5 linked regions of the Mus musculus genome follow. The protein of the gene in region 1 purifies or fractionates together with the protein of each later gene. This does not show direct contact. Links are inferred from orthologs where the notes say so. Each region holds a gene or a part of one and is shown in the gene's direction. Other genes may lie near its edges. The genes, in order: Mycbp, Otud4, Spag5, Arfgef1 and Arfgef2.

Evidence for each region.
Region 2: the proteins of Mycbp (region 1) and Otud4 purify together in Homo sapiens (co-immunoprecipitation; 3 studies listed by BioGRID and IntAct, with this or other methods). This does not show direct contact. The link is inferred for Mus musculus from reciprocal best matches to the Homo sapiens genes MYCBP and OTUD4.
Region 3: the proteins of Mycbp (region 1) and Spag5 purify together in Homo sapiens (co-immunoprecipitation; 3 studies listed by BioGRID and IntAct, with this or other methods). This does not show direct contact. The link is inferred for Mus musculus from reciprocal best matches to the Homo sapiens genes MYCBP and SPAG5.
Region 4: the proteins of Mycbp (region 1) and Arfgef1 purify together in Homo sapiens (co-immunoprecipitation; 4 studies listed by BioGRID and IntAct, with this or other methods). This does not show direct contact. The link is inferred for Mus musculus from reciprocal best matches to the Homo sapiens genes MYCBP and ARFGEF1.
Region 5: the proteins of Mycbp (region 1) and Arfgef2 purify together in Homo sapiens (co-immunoprecipitation; 4 studies listed by BioGRID and IntAct, with this or other methods). This does not show direct contact. The link is inferred for Mus musculus from reciprocal best matches to the Homo sapiens genes MYCBP and ARFGEF2.

The regions. Positions count from the first base shown.
Region 1 is NC_000070.6:123,903,503-123,907,815, forward strand, and holds the start of Mycbp (C-Myc-binding protein), read left to right. Parts: upstream 1-1,510; 5' UTR 1,511-1,570; coding exon 1,571-1,585; exon of another isoform or gene 1,586-1,731; coding exon 1,732-1,804; exon of another isoform or gene 1,805-2,059; intron 2,060-4,313. UniProt on the Homo sapiens protein: May control the transcriptional activity of MYC. Stimulates the activation of E box-dependent transcription by MYC.
Region 2 is NC_000074.6:79,638,356-79,642,668, forward strand, and holds the start of Otud4 (OTU domain-containing protein 4), read left to right. Parts: upstream 1-1,507; 5' UTR 1,508-1,550; coding exon 1,551-1,709; intron 1,710-1,748; exon of another isoform or gene 1,749-2,158; intron 2,159-4,313. Other genes in the region: uncharacterized protein Gm51579, read right to left, coding at 998-1,507.
Region 3 is NC_000077.6:78,320,770-78,322,966, forward strand, and holds the end of Spag5 (sperm-associated antigen 5), read left to right. Parts: intron 1-273; coding exon 274-354; coding exon of another isoform or gene 355-369; exon of another isoform or gene 370-381; intron 382-492; coding exon 493-648; intron 649-728; coding exon 729-803; intron 804-889; exon of another isoform or gene 890-916; coding exon 917-997; intron 998-1,358; coding exon 1,359-1,430; 3' UTR 1,431-1,688; downstream 1,689-2,197. UniProt on the Homo sapiens protein: Essential component of the mitotic spindle required for normal chromosome segregation and progression into anaphase. Required for chromosome alignment, normal timing of sister chromatid segregation, and maintenance of spindle pole architecture.
Region 4 is NC_000067.6:10,229,863-10,233,806, reverse strand, and holds the start of Arfgef1 (brefeldin A-inhibited guanine nucleotide-exchange protein 1), read left to right. Parts: upstream 1-1,136; 5' UTR 1,137-1,312; coding exon 1,313-1,436; intron 1,437-3,944. UniProt on the Homo sapiens protein: Promotes guanine-nucleotide exchange on ARF1 and ARF3. Promotes the activation of ARF1/ARF3 through replacement of GDP with GTP. Involved in vesicular trafficking.
Region 5 is NC_000068.7:166,804,080-166,808,386, forward strand, and holds the start of Arfgef2 (brefeldin A-inhibited guanine nucleotide-exchange protein 2), read left to right. Parts: upstream 1-1,501; 5' UTR 1,502-1,635; coding exon 1,636-1,756; intron 1,757-4,307. UniProt on the Homo sapiens protein: Promotes guanine-nucleotide exchange on ARF1 and ARF3 and to a lower extent on ARF5 and ARF6. Promotes the activation of ARF1/ARF5/ARF6 through replacement of GDP with GTP. Involved in the regulation of Golgi vesicular transport.

The DNA.
Region 1 (4,313 bases):
ATCCCCACTCCATGTAAAATTCCCAAAAAGCTCAACTAAAAAAACTGGATGAGTCTCGAATGCCTTAGAGCAGAGATGGGAGGGAGGAAGGGCATTGCCAACAGGAACAAAGGGAGGCAAGGCAAGCACCACCCACCAGGGGACTCTGCTTTGCACTTTTTCATTCAGTTTGTGGTTGAAGCTGGGTTCATAAGTTCTTTCAACATGAGTTTAAGTTCTGTGGCTTCTCATAACCAAATATGTTTTTTTCTCAAGACCAACAGAAAAGACAGTATTTTCATTATTTGTGCAACATAGAGCCATCGTTTTGCTTTTCTTAGATAGTCTAGAAACTTTGCAGCTAGGGAGCAGTAAGATGACTTGGTGGTAAAGGCACTCGTTGTCAAGCCTGACAACCTTAATGCAATTACTGAGACTAACGGTGGAAGGAGAGCAAGTCCTATGAGTCTTCCGATCTCCAACTGCACCACGGCATGAATACTCTTCCCCAACTCCTGGAAAAAAAAAAATCCACTGGATTTCAAAAAGATAAGGTGGGGGTAGGGCCTTACATTAAAACAAGACTACAATGAATTCTTTGTTTTGGAGACAGGGTTTCTGTGTAGCCCTGACCATCTTGGACCAGAATGGCTTCGAACTCAGGATGGTCTCCACTTTTCTTGCACTGAGATTAAATTCGTGTGCCACCAGCGCCTAGTGAATAGAATGACTTCTATATAGAGAGATCAAAACAAAATCTAGCCAAGTAGCAGGCACAACTACAAATTCATTAAAGGGCCCTCTTCTGCACTTAGAAATCTCCTTAGAGAGACATACACACTTAGTACTACCTATAATTATTTTCAACATAAAAACACGCATAATATATATGGAAAAGAACTTAATGTTAACCACTAAGGGGGTATAAAAAAAAAAAAAAGGAAACTAATGACAAAGGCAGAGAAAAGAACCACTTCAGAGGTCATTGCCCTAATCCAACATTGCTGTAGAGATAAGTTTTCTACCAGCCAGCAGTTATCTGCAAATATCACGGGGCTTAATGATTACAAGCAAGCCCTGAACAAGCCCAAAAGAGATTCTTTATTTAGCTGAGGGTGACCTTGAACTTTTTCCTGGTGCTGGGTATTTTTCTGAGCCAAGAAACACGGCATTGGTCTGTTCCTCACCAAAGACCCAAATGACAAGGAGTGCGCGCCCACTAACACGTGGGGAGATACTACATCAGGAGCCTCTAACTCCTGGCCACACCCATCCAGGGCCCCACAGGTCGTTCGCCTGGCTTTACCTAAACCTCGCCTCTTGCTAGGCAACCGAATCGCCGCGGCAACCGGAACAGGAAGACGCGAGACTGCCCGGAACCGCGGAGGGCGGGCTCACGCAGCCTCTCTAGGCTCCGAGGAGACAGGGATACACAGCGTCCCGGTCGCCATGAAAACAGGCCACACCCCGGTGGCCCCGGCCCGTGCCTGCCCAGTGCGCAGACGCGCGCGCCGTTCCGCGCATGAGCAGTGAGGCTTGGAGCCCGCCTGCCCGTGTCTCCGGCGCCAGCTACGCCGCTGTGGCTGTCACTATGGCCCATTACAAAGTGAGGGGGGCGCGGCGTGGCTCGGGGCGTGCGGGCGGCGCCGGGTGGGAGTTGGGGCGTGTGCAGGGCTTGGGGCCGGCGGCGGGGCGCGCCGTCTTCCTGCTCCGGCCCCGGGCTCCGGTCCCTGACCCGCCGTGTCTCCTCAGGCCGCCGACTCGAAGCGCGAGCAGTTCCGGAGGTACTTGGAGAAGTCGGGGGTGCTGGACACGCTGACGAAAGGTGAGCCGAGGCGGGCGGCTGCAGCCCACGTCCGCGCGCTCTTGGCCAGGTGGGGCCCGCCCCGGGAGCAGCGAGGCCTTGGGGTCCCGTGGGTCGGGCGCACGCCGGCCGCGGGACTTCGCCTCGCCCCGGTGGTCGCTCTCTGCCCCGGACTGAAACTCTTGCAGCTGTTGCAAAGTCTCTCCAACTTCCGTTGCTTTCCCGCGAGCAGCCGCAGTGGACACGTTAGCAAGACCTTGAGATCCCAGTTGCTCCCTGCCGTATAGTGTGCGGGATTTTACAAATTTTTCTTTTGGACAAAGGCAACTAAGAAAATGACTGGATTTGAAAGTGGGTTATTAAATGGCTCTAGTCCCCGAAGCTGGAGATTCATAGACAGTTTGGGCTGTGGCTTTTCAACTCTTTTAGCCTATAGTAATTCCTACTTTGTGTAGATATCATAATTAAAGTGGAATTACAATTTGAAAAGTGCTTCAGAGCACATAAAAACAGCTATATTCTTTACTTTAAAACAATGGAAGCGTAAAGTGTATCCCTTCCTTTCTGGGTGTAAGGCTAGAGAGTATGGTGGTTGGAATCATAGAATAAAGCTAACTGGCCTTAACAGTATATTGAATGCCTTCTACATGGTAAGAACTCAACATTGCTTGGTGTTTTCAAGGGAATAGAATGGAATGGCTGGCAGGGATTGAAAACTTGGTCCTTTTGAGAATAGGAAGTGTCTGGGAAATAATTTGTATCTGCTTTTTAGGGAACAAAAGCTAGGGGAAAATTTGGGAGAACTTAGAAGAAAGCAGGGCTTTTAATTCTCTTACATGGATGAACTGACAAGTTAGAATTACTACTCATTTCCTTATGTCATCGGAAGTCAATGTGAGCAAAAGTATAAGGAACTACTCTGTGAGACCACTGTAGTTTGTGGCATCAGAAGTGTCACAGATGGCTTGGAATTCTGTTAAAAAAAACCCCTCATGTTTCTTTCATGTAATGATTTTACTCCAGCCGTGTGTTCTGGGCACCAAGGGGATACAGCCATGGAAATGTTCTTGCTTTTGGGAGCTTGTAGCTTAGATAGGGACACACACACACTAAAACTAGTGCCAGCTAGTGGTAAATGTCTAACTTAAACCATAGCAAGGATAAAGATGGGACATTTTACATGGAGTGGCAGAGGGAAGACCTTGAACAGTACGGATAAGTATCCTTAATCTGAAATTTTGAAATCTAAATTGCTCTCAGATTTGTAACTTACTGAGTATTGATGTGGAAAGTTCCATACTTGACTGCATAAATTATGTCAGTCAAAATTCAGGAGCCTAGGAATATGTACTTGTTCAAGATCATGTTTATATTATGTGAATAAGGTCTATATGGAATGTAAATTAATTTCATGTTTAGGCTTGGATCTCATCTCCAAAACACTCATTATGTATGAGTAGATAGTTCAACCTCTGGAGATAAACACTGATACACTTTTGGTCCCAAATAATCTGTGTGGTAGGGTCGTGGAATGAAATGGATGCAGGAGGTTGACAGGCAAGAACACTGAAAGGCAGATGGAGTACAATTGTAGATAACTGAATGCAGAGCCAATGTGCAGCCTTCAGGCTGTGTAAGAGAATGGGAACCAAATTTTACAGGATCAAACAGAGATGTTTCATACAAGTTTACATTTTTCTTTCAGCAACATTTCAGAGAGGATTTAAAGTTGTTTCTAACATGAAAACATTGTAAGAAGCCAGGCATGGTGACATGTTTTTAGTGCTCTGGTGAGGGAAAACAGATCTGCATTCACTGCTTGCCTGGAGCATGTATCAAGATCTGTTCCAAAAAAAGTAAACTATAGCTAGGCTAGAGAGATGGCTTAGAGGTAAGATTACTTGATACACAACTATAGGGCTAGAGTTCAGGTACCAGCACTCATAATAAGCCAGACAGGGTCTTGGTGTGTATAATTCTGCTAGCCTAGGTAAAAGGATGGAAGCTGGAGGCTGAGGGAGACCTTGCCTCAAAGGTTTGAGGCATATGCAGAAGACCTAGACATCTTGTTTCATTTCTAATTGCACTTGACAAGCTGAAGTAGGAGGACTGATTGAATCTGAGACCAGCCTTGGCTAAAGAGTAAAACTACATCTTTAAAAAAAAAAAAAAAAAAAAACCAAACCAAACTTAACCAACCAATCATCAACAACAGAACAATAACAACCTTCAAGACAAAAACATCCATGAAGAAGGTGAATGCATAAAATAGCATTTTAGTTATTTTGAGCAGGGTAGCAAACTTTAAAATACCTGGCTTTAAATACCTAGTTGCTAAGAGCCAGCAAGAAGGCTCAGCAGGTGAAGGTGCTTGCTGCCAAGCCAAATGGACCTGAGTTTGTTTGTTTTTTGTTTTTTTGTTTTTTGAGACAGGGTTTCTCTGGATAGCCCTGGCTGTCCTGGAACTCACTTTGTAGACCAGGCTGGCCTCGAACTCAGAAATCCGCCTGCCTCTGCCTCCACGCCTGGC
Region 2 (4,313 bases), on another chromosome or scaffold:
TTGGGTCAAGGATTTTTAAAAAAAAAATTATTTAGCTTGCGATATATTTTCTAAAAATAGCACATTTATAGGAATATTTAAATATTAATAGCTTACATTTTAAGTAACGTGTTGCAATCCTACCACCTGGCATGTCTTGGCACCATTCCCAAGAATGCCTACACCTTTAAACCTAAGGTAATTTACCACTTTTCTTTTTCCAACACAACGTCAAGACCGAAGTTCTAATAAATTTAAATGATACGAGATGCTATTGTATGCTAGTAAAATAAAATTCTGACGTCCCAAGAGGTTAAGTTCCGGATTCGCAAACCCAATTGGACTGCTCAGGTCGGATTCCCCGTAGCGTTATCACCGAATTAAAAAAAAAAAAAAAAAAAAAAAAAAGAAGTAATTTCTTCTAACAGGGACAGCTCTTTGTGTGGCAGAGCGCAGCTGCTGTGACAGAATGAGCAGGCATGCCCTTGGCAAAGCCAGATCTTGTCAGAGTGTGAGCTGTCCCAATTTCAATCAACTGTCAACGCTTCATTGAGGGTCAAAATGGCTTAGGCTGGCGGCTCCAAGGGCCTCGGGTGAGGTGCCCGGTTTTCTGCTCTAAGCGTTTAGCCACCCCTAAGAAAACGCTAGGAGGGGAGGCCCTGAGTGGGGTGCGGACAGGTGCGTCCTCTGGAACTACACAAAGGGCCGGCGGCACCGCCACTGAGCCCCTAGCAACTGCACGCAAGCTGCGCTCGCGCGCTTTCCGCCGCCCCACGGCGCTCAGGGCGGGAGGCTCGCCGGGAGGGCGGGGCAGCGCGCGCAGGTCAGCGGCGTAAGCGACAGACACCCTCGGGCCTGCTCGCGGACGCGGCCTGGGAAGCGCGAAGGCAGTTCTAGGTTCGGCACCGCTAGCATTGTAGGGATTTGTAGTCCGCGAGCCCGTGGGGCACCTCCCCTCCGGGTAGGCCGACCCAGGCGTCCCCGCCCTCTGCACGAGGACTTCCTGCCGCGGCTTAAACTACAACTCCCGTCGTCCGCTGCGCCGAGGGCTGAAAGCGAAAACAAATTCTAGGCTGCGAGGTTGCTGCCCTCCGCCCGGCGCCCCTTCCCGCTCCCCGCCCCTCAGGCGCCCTCCGGCGAGGTGGGGAGACGAGCGGCCGTGGCTTTCTCTCCGCGTTTCCTCGGTTCTCGGCGTGGGGTGCGTGCGGGAGACGCAGGCCTCGCTTAATCTCAGCCGGGCGCGCCGCCGGGGCTTTTCTCGCCTCACACCGGTCGAGACCCGGAAACTTGTGGGGGCGGCGACCCCCGGGCTGCCCGCGGGCGCGTGTCCCTCCGCGGAGGCGGCCGCGTGCGGATGGCCATGCACTAGGCTGGGCTCACCTATGCTCCGGGAGAGCGCCGGCCACCGCCTCGGGCCGCTGCCGCCACCGCCTCTTCCTGCCGCCGCTCGCCGTGTCCGCGTCGGAGCCGGAGCCCGAGCCGCAGCCTGCCCCAGGCCCGGGCGTCGAGCAGCCGGCGGCGCGGCCATGTGGGGCTAGTTCGCCCCGCGCACGCTGCAGCGGACCGGCAACATGGAGGCAGCCGTCGGCGCGCCCGACGGCGTGGACCAGGGCGGCGTGGGGCCGCTGGAGGATGAGACGCCCATGGACGCCTATCTGCGCAAACTGGGCTTGTATCGGAAATTGGTCGCCAAGGACGGGTCGTGCTTGTTCCGGGCTGTGGCCGAGCAGGTAAAGGACCCGGGCCGGAGCCGGGCGGGCGCGGGGCTGGGTGCGACATGCCGCCCGCAGCTGCCTGGCCGCCCACGGCGGGGCTGCGCGTGGCTCGCTGTCGTCACAGCGGCCCATTGTAACGCCGGCACGGGACCGAGTGAGGACATCTCGGGCGGCCTGCTCGCAGCCTGACCGCCAGGGACCCAGCGACATGCTGTTTTTGAGTTGTGTTCCGCGTTCACCTGCGCTCAGTTTTTAGCAGCCGAGTGTTCCCACTAGTTAACCTCATGTTTACTGGAGGAGGTGCGGCACTCAGTGTGACTGCTTCACATTTTTTTTTTCCTGTTGCTGGACTTTGGAATGCGGGGTAGTCGGTCTCACCGGTGTCACTCGAAACAGGCGGCCAACTTTGCTGTTTAAGGAAAGCAGTCTTCCTGTATAGGGTCTTCCCAGTGACTTAATCTTGAGTAGGTCCCATACTATACTATGTTGGAATCAGGCAAGAATTTACTCTTCTAAAGGCCTTTAAGTAATAGGATGGATTTTCAGTATAGGCACATGTCGGGTTTTTTTTTTTGTTTCCGTTTTTTGTTTTGTTTTCCTTATTGGTCAAAAATTATTCCCAGTACAGATCGAACATTTTACCAAAGAGAAGTGAGTTAGAACTCAGGAGTGGGACGAGTTCCAGGGAAGAATACTCAAGGCTTTTCTTTTTTGAGAGCGAGCCCTTTTCCCCATGTTATGTAATCAGATGTAGGTGTGGGGTCACCAAAACCCATCCTATATTTGAAGACTAGCTGCTAAAGTAGTTGGATTAAAAAAGTTTCACATTACTGCTCCAGTTTGTATTTCATACCATTTACAGTTTGCTTTCCTTTGGCTTAATCTGGAGTTTTTATGGTTTTGTCCCCTCCCGCCCGCCCCCTTTTGTGAGCTAACTAGCTTTTAAGATTTCTGTTTTAGAATCACCAGGCTATGTATTTTTCAGAGTATGTAAATATGGAACACTTTGCACTTATGACAGGTATGTCCATTGAAACATTCTTTGATGCTTCCCAAACCATCCTACCATTTGATATCTCTTATTTTCAGAAATGTAGGAAGCTCCAGTGTGGGTGCTGTTTCCAGCCCAGTCTTTACTGTTACATAGGTAAACAGTCTGCTCCATTTGTGAGTTTTCCAGATGAAGAAGATTGTCTCCTTGTCTCAGCCTTCTTGGCCTCTAGCACCTCTAGAAGCTGAAGAGGGGAAGTGAAGTCATCCCATGGTGTCGGTTTATATTATAGTGCATTAGCAAGTTTGTGGAGGATGGAGGTAGAGGTTAGTGTTTGGAGTTGAGTTATCCAGGCCTATTTAAAGTGAGACAGAAAGGTGTGTTTCTGCCCATGAGACATGCCACAGATCCTTGGGGATAGAAGAGCAGCTTGGGGGACTCAGTGTCTGCACAGTGGGCAAGAGCTAGTTGCACTAAACTCATTGATGGGGGTAAACTCCGTTTCAGCCTTGGGATCTGGGTTAGTCTTAAAGGACCTAACCTTTACAAATTTGGGGACGCTTTATTTTGAATATATTGAGCCTACATCTAGGGGAAGCAACATAAGTATTCCAGTAGATCCAGACTGAGTGAGGAAGTAATGGTGAGGAAGAATGTGTTAGCCTCCGCTGCCTTTAAAAGTCTGTAGGAAGGATTTGTTTTAGTGGAATTTCTTTTCTGGTAAATAGTTCAATAAATATTTTTAAGAGTCAGGAAGCTAAATAGTCCTAAGAGAAGAGGATTCGAGCGCGCTTGAGATTAGCCTTTTCCCCTTCAGATTACCTGATTTAGAGATGCTTTTTCCTTTTTTTTTTTCTTTTTTCTTTTCACTTGTGGATTTGGGCCTGCAGGAAGCCTGACCTGAATCAGCTCCTAGCCTTGTAGCTAAAAATAGGGCACTCTTAGAGGACTTGCTAAAACAGTGTCTCAGCCTTTCCCTGTGTTTATCACTACCTTGTTTTAAAGCTTCTACCTTTAGCCTATTTTCATGGAGCAACATAGCAGACCACTTGAATTTTGAGTGTCCAGGGATTGAGAAGTAATTTACTATTTGAAGAGTTGTCATTTCAGTCTTGCTTTTTTTGCATTGTTTGACTTACTAAATTATCAATATTCTACACTTCATGTACATTGATGAGAGTTTTGCATCTGGATTGCAGGTTCAGGTTGATGACATGTTCTAAAATCTTTGTTAAAAGGAGAAAAAACAGATACTTGTGATGTAGTTACTGATGAGAAGTGAGCTTTACTAATTTCTGCCTGCCACCTGTTGTTAGGTGAATGGCTTGAACACAAACCGGAGGCGCCTTGCTGACAGGCAAGCCCTATCAGGTGACACTGTGGCTCACTCAGATTAATAATGCTTGATCCATAACAGTGTCTAATGCAGCTACTGGGAAAGCTATATTGCCAAATGTAATTTGTTGAAATGGCAAACAGTTGGTGTTTTTGAAAATGCGTGGACGGTTCTTGTGATGCGGGAAGCTTAGACTGTGCAAGGCTACTTTCTAGTAATGTCCCAAAACAGTAAGAAAAGAGACTCCAGCTGCGTTTTACACCTCTCCTGGATAACAACCAAGAACTGGAGA
Region 3 (2,197 bases), on another chromosome or scaffold:
CCAACTACTGCTCTAGTTTTGCCCTTTTGGGGTCAGACACTTCCTATCTGAGAACTAGTACTGGGTTGACCTGTCTTCTCCAAGCAGACCCAGGAGAAAAGCCCAGAACTGAAGCAGAGTTCTGAAACCAAGACGTGCCATGCTTGACTTGGTCCTGAATAAGTGGACGGATATGAACGAGTCCCCGGGGCTGAGCATGGCTCGGGCATTCAGTCCTGTCTTCTGGCTGAAAAGAAGTGAGCCTTTCCTCAGTGCTTCTGTCCTTCTTCACAGAATGAGAAGGAGCTCCTGGAAGTGATACAGAAGCAGAACGAGAAGATCCTGGGGCAAATAGACAAGAGCGGCCAGCTCATAGTACGTTTCTCCTGATGCTATGGCCAGGTCTCTGCTTTTCCCACCTGATGGAGGAAGGAGAGAAAGAACCTCTGAGTACTGTTGGGTTATCTCCGTTACCCCTGAGTGCTGTTGGGTTACCTCTGCTCTTGTTCCCAGAACCTCAGAGAGGAGGTGACCCAGCTCACACAGTCACTTCGGCGTGCAGAGACAGAGACTAAAGTGCTCCAGGAAGCCCTGGAAGGCCAGCTAGATCCCAGCTGCCAGCTGATGGCTACTAACTGGATCCAGGAAAAAGTGTTTCTCTCACAGGAGGTAACACAGAGTTAACAAAGGAGCTGTACAAATAATGGGGACCCCACGCTATGCCCCTATTAACGTGGACATATTTATAGGTGAGCAAGCTGAGGGTTATGTTCCTGGAGATGAAAACTGAGAAGGAACAGCTGATGGACAAGTATCTGAGCCATGTAAGCAGTTCTGTTTCCTTCCACCACAGAAGCACCCTGCCATATATATTTCCTCTGTTCTCTCTAGCTGTGTTCTTTACGTGTAGGGTTCATGAAGCCTGTTTGCATTGTAGAGGCACATCCTGGAGGAGAATCTTCGGCGCTCTGACACAGAGTTAAAGAAACTCGATGACACAATTCAGCATGTCTATGAGGTAAAAGTGAAGGAGGTAGTGGGACCTGGCTGCCGGAGGGGCTGAGGAGCATGGCTCCGGTTCTCAGCCTGACTACTTTTTTTTTTTTTTAAAGATTTATTTATTTATTATATGAAAGTACACTGTAGCTGTCCTCTGAGGGAGTCAGATCTCATTACAGATGGTTGTGAGCCACCATGTGGCTGCTGGGACTTGAACTCAGGATCTTCGGAAGAACAGGCAGTGCTCCTAACCGCTGAGCCATCTCTCCAGCCCTCAGCCTGACTTCTTACAGTGGCTTCATTTTCACTTTTCCAGCATCACAGGCCAGGAGCTTTGGCTTCAGGCTTGTGATTCAGAACTGTTTTCTGTCTCTTCCCAGACTCTGTTGTCTATCCCAGAGACTATGAAGAGTTGCAAGGAGTTACAAGGATTGCTAGAATTTCTGAGCTAAGAAACTGAAAATATTGGAATGCAGTGGTGTGCACCTGTAGTTCCAGCTGCTCCAGACGCCAAAGTTGGAGTGCTGCCAAATCCCAGGAATTTGGGAACCTAACACAGACAACACAGCAAAAACCCTGAAAAATGAATTCCACTCCACTCCAGTTTCCTTCAGGGCTCTTTATCCCAACCCTTATCCCAATAATAAGACCAATTGGCATAGAGCCGACCATGTTTTATGTTATTTAAATAAAGTGTATTTAATGTAGTCCTTCCAGTCCACTGAATCTTATTTTGGGGGTAGGAGTGGGCAGATCAGCACTTCAGCCTAGGCACCCTTCACCACTTCCTGCTGCAGCTAAAGCCAAGGCTGACTGCTTTTCTTTGCTTGATTCTCTTCTTCTACCAACAAAAAAAGGGGGTGGGGGGGAGGGCAATGGACTGCCTGTTCCCTGGACCACTGCCTGGGGGGAACAGAAAAGACTCCATTCACTTACTTTCCCCATCCCCCTTGGGGGTAGGCACTGGTAAATATGGGGCAGAGCACAGAAACTCAATTCCATTATTCCATGTCTTGAAGTGGGGCACTGTTAGGTGGGCCTCTGCCCTACCTGCTGATGTTTAGAGATCTCTCCTCTAAACCAGGCTTAATCCCCAACATTCCACATAATGCCTTACACAGCAAAGGACTGATTGTGGTAGAGACAAACACAAGTCCATCTCTTCCCTCTAGGGCCCTGTTGGCAGGGTTCCATGATGTGGGAAGGGCATCGTCTCTAA
Region 4 (3,944 bases), on another chromosome or scaffold:
GGATTCTTAACGTTTTCTCTCAGAAGCAATGCGGAAATTTGAGTTCTGTGGCATTAAAGCAGGCACAGTATGGTCAGGAGTATCTGTTCTTAAAGCTTTTCCATTCTGAAAACTCCGGATTAAAGGTAGAGAACGGGAGGGCTCTGTGCGGTACCTGAGTCAGAAGCACTCACCTTAACTTCAGTGTCAATCAGAAAAGGGCATGAAACCTAGGGTTTACTGATTTACCCTATTGAGAGATTTAAAAAGTGAAAATATTCCTGAATCTTCGCCCAGTGGTTTTTAGCTTACGTTTTGCAAAAGAGATCCATCTTGAAGTAATTGAAAGTATCGGTCAAGGATAGCAATTTCCTACACCTGAGAAGGAAATTTAGACCCCGTGTGGCAGGCGGAAACCAGGTGCGCCTGAGGGAGCGACGCGGGTGTTCCTGTGGCCCTAGGACCGCGAGGAACTTTGCTCCCCGGCGACCGGCTGTCCAGAAAGTTGGGGAAGCCCGTGCACGGTAGGCAGGGGTCCTGTCGTCCCGGCCTTGGGAGCGCCCCTGTGCTCCGATCACGCATCCCAGTAGCCCGCAAGAGCAGAAGCCCCGCGCCACGCCGTGCCGCGCAGCAGGACGCCCGCCACGCCCCACGCTGCCCTGCAGGCGAACGCGGGAGGCGGCGAGTCCCCGCCGGGCCGCCGTAGAGTTGCAGCTCCGGCCGCTCCTCCCGCGCCGCCCTCCGCCCCTTGCCTCTCGGCGCCGCGGCAGCTCTGGGCTGGCGCTGGCACCGCCGCCGCCGCCGCTTCCTCTCCGCAGCCGTTCGGCCGCTGCGTGACGCGTCGTTTCCTCTCAACATGGCGTCCGGGGCAGGTCGGCGGTGATGGAGGCCAGTCGGCGGCTGCGGCGGATGCTGGTCCCCACGGTAGCTAGGGCAGCCTCGCGCCTGCTGGCAGTGTGAGGCGCCGCCACCTAGGCCCTCGGCCCCGGGAAGACGGCCGCCCGGGCCGAGTGCCGCCGCCGCCGGGCCGTAGGGACGAGTGAGGCGGGCGGCCGGGAAGCGACCCCCGGGCCGACGGCGCCGAGGCCGGACGGGCGCGGCCCTCGAACGGCGGCCCCTCGAGCGTGGCGAGGCTTTCGACGCCCTTGGCGGCCCCGCGGCCGCTCCGCGTCGCCGGCCGCTTCCTGGTGCCGCCGCTGCCCTCCACGCCTCCTCGCCCCCACCGCCACCTCCTCGCCTTTCTCCCTCCCCGTCCTCATCCCGGTCCCCGTCCCCCTCCTCCGCCTTCCCTCCAGCCGCCGGGACCGCCGCCGCCGCCGCCTCCTCCGCGTCCATGTATGAGGGCAAGAAGACGAAGAACATGTTCCTGACCCGGGCCCTGGAGAAGATTCTGGCCGACAAGGAAGTGAAGAAGGCGCATCACTCCCAGCTGCGCAAAGCGTGCGAGGTGGCCCTAGGTGAGCCCGGAGGAGGCCGCGGCGCGGGGTGCCGGCCGCGAGAGGTGGGCGGCGTGGCGGGCGGCTCGTCCGGGGAGCCCTGCTGGCCGCCCGACTGGAGTTGACAGCAACTCGGCTGGACGCGGGGCACCGGCTGAGTGGAGGAGGATAGGCGGCCAGCCGGGGCCCCTGGAACTCGAGATGGTTACGGATCGCGAGGCACCTGGCTTCGAGTGGTCCACAGGACGGGATGGGGGGAGGGTTGTTGGTGGCCCCTGCGGTGCGGACAGAATGTCATCCTTTGTGATGGAGCAGAAGATGAGCTGTTGTTTATTAGCTTAGAAATTGAGGTGGGGCCGATCTGACGAGACTGAGCGTGGGGGAGGGTTCCGTATTGCAATTACAATAACTTTATGATTTGGCGTGGTACTTTGGGAAGAAAGGTTGAAGTTGTTCCCTCGTTGACAGTCTCGAGAAAGGGGGTTGCAAAAGGTGCCTCGAGTTTGCCATCTCTCTGCCCCAGCTACAGGAAAAAAGAGTAGTAATGTAACCTACTGGGCTGACCTGGAAGAACAAGACTAGAGGTTAAGGGGGTGGCGGTGGCCGTGTCTGTGTGGAAATGTGGAAGGAAAGAACCTTTAGATAAATTGACTTTAGGTAACACAGAAAGGGGTGTGTGTGAAATGAGAGAAAAGAGAAAGACAATGACACCCACCAGCCACATGTCTGGACAGTGGCAGCTGTTCTCAAGCTTCAGTTGTGATTTATAGTTCAGACAGAAGAGGTCTAGTGTAATGAAGCCACAGCAGGGCAAATCCCAAACAATACCTATAAAACCATTGTAGGCAGATAACGATTTGTTTGCGGTAGGTTTGGTAGGTCTAGTGCATCCATCAATAAGAGAATTGTTAAGGGAGAAGCCAGAACATTTAACACAGATAAATTTGTGATGCTTACCCTTTTGTTTATAGCCCTGGACCAGAGCAGCTCAACTTTGCAAGAAATGAAAATGGTTAAAAGTGATTTTTGAAAAACATTTTTGAAAGGGGACAAACTAACTTTATGCTAAAGTAAGGGGTCCAGATAGGTTAGAGACAATTTTGCATTTAAGTTTTGACTTAAGACTACCATTTAACTTACTCCAAATGTTACAGCCGCCCTTCCTCCTTTTTTTCTCAATACTTAGTAATATGAAAAACATCAACTGGATTTGTTTAACATCCACCAAAAAATGGTCCTTTTTGTTGGTGGTGTTTTGTTGTTAATGTAGTAGTATAGTGGACTTAAATAGTTCCTTCCTTTGCCCTTCATTGGTCATAAGTTCCCATTTTGTTATTGTAACTAACAACACGTTTCCAGGTGAATGAGAAGACTATTGTACAGTTGCAAAAATTGAATTTATATTTGGGTCCTGAAAGAAGTCATTATTAATTGGAGTGATAGGAAGGGTTTTAAGAACTTTTAAAATTATTGTGTGCTGTAGGGTTTTCAGTAACCTGGCAGGGTAAAAAAACAAATGAAATTCAAATTAAAGCTTTAGTATTTAAGAACTAAGCTTTGCTGTGTTAGAGTATGTGTGTCCATTTTTTTTCCTTTTTTTTTTTTTTTTTTTTTTTTAAGCAAGGGGCATGGGGGCATGCAGACAGGTTCCAAGTAGCCCAGGCTGGCCTAATATTTCTTTGTAGCTGAGGACAACTTGAACTTTCCTAAACCACTGTCTCTGATTTTGAATTCTGGGATTATAGACAAATGACGGCTTGTTTTAGAGGTGCAATGCAGAGGATGGAACCCAGGGATTCATTTGTAGTGGCAAGCATTCTATCAACTGAAAAATATCCAAACCCAGAAAGTATTTCCAGTATGCTAAAGCATACACATTTACAGGTTTTAAGTAAACTGGTTTTTATGTACTTTTTTTCTCTTTCCAAATACTAAAATGAGTATGTTGGCAGCTCATCGAAATGAGAGTCTGGGGTTTAAGTCCATCTTTTGTTACAGTTCAGTATTACTGTGCTTGGACTTTCTCAGTCCAGTTAAGGGTAGTGGACTCAGTGAATGTGAGTGCGTTCTTCTGCTAGATACATCTGGTATTCTTGCCGCTCTACATTTCTTCAGAAAGTCTGTAGCTCCCTTAACTGCAGCCCTGACATTTTTAGGCATAGGAATTCTTGATGGTGTGCTCTTTAAATCTTTTGCCATTTAACGAGTACCAGAGTACTTTGTTTACAGGAAGTTTTTTGGGTGTTTTTGTTTTTAACAAGAGGCATTTTCCATATTTCATAAAAGTTACATTTAGCTCTCTATAAAGTAAATTTTCAGTATGCAGTCTCATGGTAAATAACCCCTGATTTTTTTTTCTTCCAGTCATCTGTCAGTATTAAGTTTGGGATAGCTGCTATCTATCACTGGCTGACTTGGAACTCATTATGTAGACCAGGCTACCCTTGAACTATAGAACTTATGGCAGTCCTCCTGCCTCTGCCTCCAAGGTACTGAGATTACTGGTGCCTACTGGTGTGTGTGGCTATT
Region 5 (4,307 bases), on another chromosome or scaffold:
TTCCCTGCCGGTGAATTGAGCCAATTCAAGAGAGGTAAGATTATATTAAATGTAGGTTTCCTGGGAAGCTGCGAAGCTGCTCTCAGTTGAGTTCACTGGTCCTGAGGAAGGAGGCAAGGCAAGTCGCCATGGGAAGAGAGGAAGAGTGCTTGCAGAGAGAGAGAGAAAGAGAGAGAGAGAGAGAGAGAGAGAGAGAGAGAGAAGCCAAAATGTCTGGAAGAGCCTCTGCCTCTGAGTGAAAAGGAAGGAGAAGGGCAGCCCAACCCTTGTGCTGGAAAGTTCAGGGTTGGGAGCAGGGGATGCCAGGTAGGGACTGAGGGATGCTGGGAGAACCTGGAGGCCAGGTCAGCTTTGGTATGTAAAATATGCAACTCAGTCCCTCATCCCAGAGAGGACATTGAGTTCAAGGTCAAGGACAGCCGGCGATACACATCAGGATTGTATCAAAACAACAACAACAAACAAAACAAACAAGTAAAACTCTAGCGACAGAAGGATTACTTCTTACAAACTGGCCCGCCAGGAGCTCTCTCTCCTGTGGCAGCAGGACTGTGTCCAGGGCTGGTGTGGTTTGCTGTCAGAGATACAAATCTGGAAGAGATAGACACCGTGAATATACCTTCCAGCCTACCCTTCTTTCCCCTCCCCTCCTCTCTCTTCTCTCTTCCCTTCTGGCTTCATCCTCAGTCCTGGTTCTTAACTTCCCTGAGCCTCCTTTCCATCCCTGATTTCTCTGCCCTTCCTGGATCCGGCATCTGACCTTCCCTACTCTCTGTCACCTCTCTCATTCCATTCACTTCCTTTTGCCCATCTCTCTTCTCTCGACTATTATTACTCTCACTAATTCTTTTTTTTAAAGATTTATTTATTTATTTATTTATTTATTTATTTATTATGTGTACACTGTAGCTGTCTTCAGACACTCCAGAAGAAGGCATCAGATTTCATTACGGGTGGTTGTGAGCCACCATGTGGTTGCTGGGATTTGAACTCAGGACCTTTGGAAGAGCAGTCGGTGCTCTTAAACACTGAGCTATCTCACCAGCCCTCACTAATTCTTTTTACGATTTTTTTCTTTCCCCTTTACTCCCTCTTTCGCTTTTCTCAGCATATCTAGCGCATGCTCTTAGTCTCTTCCTACCTCCGATCACTTGCATCTTTCCTTCAGGGCTGCCCATGTCTATAGGCTTTGACCTGCATTTTCTTCCCCTTCATAGTCATTGACCATCACTCCCCTACCTGGCCCGGTTATACTACTTAGACACGCCCGGACCAGCACCACTCGCGTAGGCCCCGCCCCAACCGAACAGACCACGCCCCACCACAGGTCTACTGCCCCGCCCACCCGCCCCACCCACAGAACTCCACCCCACTCTGGCTCCGCCTCCCGGCCGGCCCCCCACCCTTGGGGTCACAGGGTCGACCGACGCTCAGCAGACGCAGCGACACCGCCAGTCACGTGGTCACGTGACGCGCTGCAACTTGGCGGCGCCGTGGGGCCGGGGCGTCTCTTCCTGACAGGGCGGCGCGCACGGACGCGGCCGGTGCCGGCCGGGTCGCCGGGCCCTCAGCCTCGCTCTCCTGCTCGCTCGCACCGCCGGCTCGCGGGGTCGCCGGCCCCCGCAGGCCGGGGCCATGCAGGAAAGCCAGACCAAGAGCATGTTCGTGTCCCGGGCCCTGGAGAAGATCCTAGCTGACAAGGAGGTGAAGCGGCCCCAGCACTCCCAGCTGCGTAGGGCCTGCCAGGTGGCGCTCGGTGAGTGAGCCACCCCGGCCTGGCCCGCGCCGGCTTCCCCACGCCGGCCGTTACCCTCCGGGCCTGCTGCCCTCCACTCCTCCCAGCCCGAATCCCACCCTCCCGTCCTCTTCCGCTCGCTGTCCCCGTGGGAGCTGGTGTTGGGGCGGCCGAGACTGGCCCAAGGTCACCTAGCAAGTTGGTGACAGCCACGGCTGGTTTTCCAGCTTCCCTGCCTGGGGCCCTTGCCACGACTCCTTGTCCCGTTTCCTGGTTCCTCCCCTCACCATCTCCAAGTCCTCTGAAGCAGTAGCTCTCGATCTTAAGTTTTTCCTTCAGCGCCACTATGCTGGTTGGGGGCTCTCCCACGGGAGCGATCAGAGCAGGTCAGAGAGCTGCCCGGTTGGTGCCGAGGAACCCCGGAGGCTTGTTTGGGAAATGTCTCACTGGAGAACATTGGGGTTCCCAGGGCGCTTCGCCTGGAAGGGATGTAAGATGATCTATATTTCAGGCATTGGACAGCGTGTACGACTTCTACTCATTTTAGGGCGGGTCCCTAAAATAAAGGTTCTGTAGAGCAAAGATACTTGTCTGATTGCTTCAATGCGGTGTCCTGTGCATTTATGACAGTGCTTCGCACACAGTAGTTGCTCAGTAAATATTTGCTGGTTGAATGGATCCATGGATTGTGGAAAGACAGAAGTCTCTAGCTCCTAACTAGGTAAAAGCTCGGTAGTTGACACCAACATCAGTCTCCTATCTTTAGTTACTTCTCGAGAGCCTGTGTAGCAGGTACTGAGGAGATGTCTATGAAGGAGAAATGGAATCCTTTGTCCCTGTGGATCTTCTTAGGTTCTGATAGAGCAGACAAAACAGTACTAATAAGTACTGCTGTCAGAAAAAAGACTTAAGTGATACAGAGGACCTGAGGTCTGCTTTAGGTTGGATGGTCAGGAAAGTAGTCTTGTCTGAAAGTGTGACATTTGAGCCCAGGTCTGAAAGGTAAGAAATGTCGACTGTGTGGAGGTTCAAGAGGAAAAAAGTTGTGGACGGAGAGCGTCAGGACATTTGACCAGAGCTGTCTCCCTGTGAATTCATCGCCCTGTGCAATCCATGGGATTTGGTTAAAAGGCCTGTTGTCCTAAAAGGTTGAGTAAACAGAAGGGCTGAGTTTCTGTTAGTCACTCTTCTCCATGGGTGCAGGAGAACGTCCACTTGAGACCTTGGAATGGATTTGTGAGCTTTGCACTTCCCGGTGAATAAGATTCAGGCCTCAAATATGTGGGAAGCATTTGAGAGTCCCTAAGGGTCAGAAACTGTTGTTGATCTTGGGGGTTGCTTGAGGCCTGTGTAATCCTGAGCAGCTAATCTTGTGAAATTCAGGGTCTGTGGAAGGGATTTACTGAGACCTAAATGTTAAAGCTTTTCTGTTTTGAAAACCAGGGCCAAGAGTTGGGTTTTGTTCTATCAGGAATGTAGGGTAAGCATTGGAAAAGCAGCTGTGAGGGAGGCATGAGCCTCAGGCTGAACCCTCCTAGACTCCATTCTTGCCATAGGGCTTCACGTTTTAACTTCTTAATTTATTTTTATTTTATTTTATTTTTTGGTTTTTGTTTTTCGAAACAGGGTTTCTCTGTGTAATCCTGGCTGTCCTGGAACTCACTCTGTAGACCAGGCTGGCCTTGAACTCAGAAATCCACCTGCCTCTGCTTCCCAAGTGCTGGGATTAAAGCCATGTGCCACCACTGCCGGGCTGGCTGTCTTTGATTGCTCTCCACTTATGCAAGACAGTGTCTTTCCCTGAACTAAAGCTCACCAATTCTGCTAGCTAGCTAGCCAGCTTGCTCAAGAACCCCCTGTCTCAGCCTCCCAAGAACTTGCGCTATAGGGAGCCACCACACACGAGTGGCTTATTTGTATTTAAAAATGGGTTCTGGGGAGCCGAACGCTGGTCCTCACACTTCCACTGTGAGCACTTTACCCACTGAGCTACCCTTCCAGCCCCATACATTCCTCTTCTTAAATGAGGTTACTGAGACCCAAGAAAAGGCCTTGAGATACAGGATAAGGGGGGCACAGGTACTCTGCAGTATTTTAACTGTTCAGAAATAAAGTCTTTTCACCTAACTAAGCACATAGCTCCTATCTTAAATGATAGCTCCTTTAAGCCAGCCCTGGGTGTGAACTCCCTAACCACTGATAACAAGCCATCCCTCCAATTTCACATAACCTAGAGTGAAGTTACCTCCTGTCAGGGCCATTTCTTACACATGTGTGTATGCAGTAAGTATGCATGTTCACACATGAGAACACGTGTGTATAAATATATAATTCAAACGTGCATTTCTACAGCCTAAATTGGAAAAAATAAATCTGAACTTTTACACAAAAAATATAATCCGAGGGGAAAAAAAAAGAACCATCTAATAATGTCTCAGTGTTATGGCCCAGTATGGCTCGCAGGACAATTTAAGCAGACCCCAGCAATGTGATATTTGATGCTAAAATTTCTGAACAAGAAATTAAAACTTGGGCTGAGAGATGGCTCAGCGGTTAAGAGCACTGACTGCTC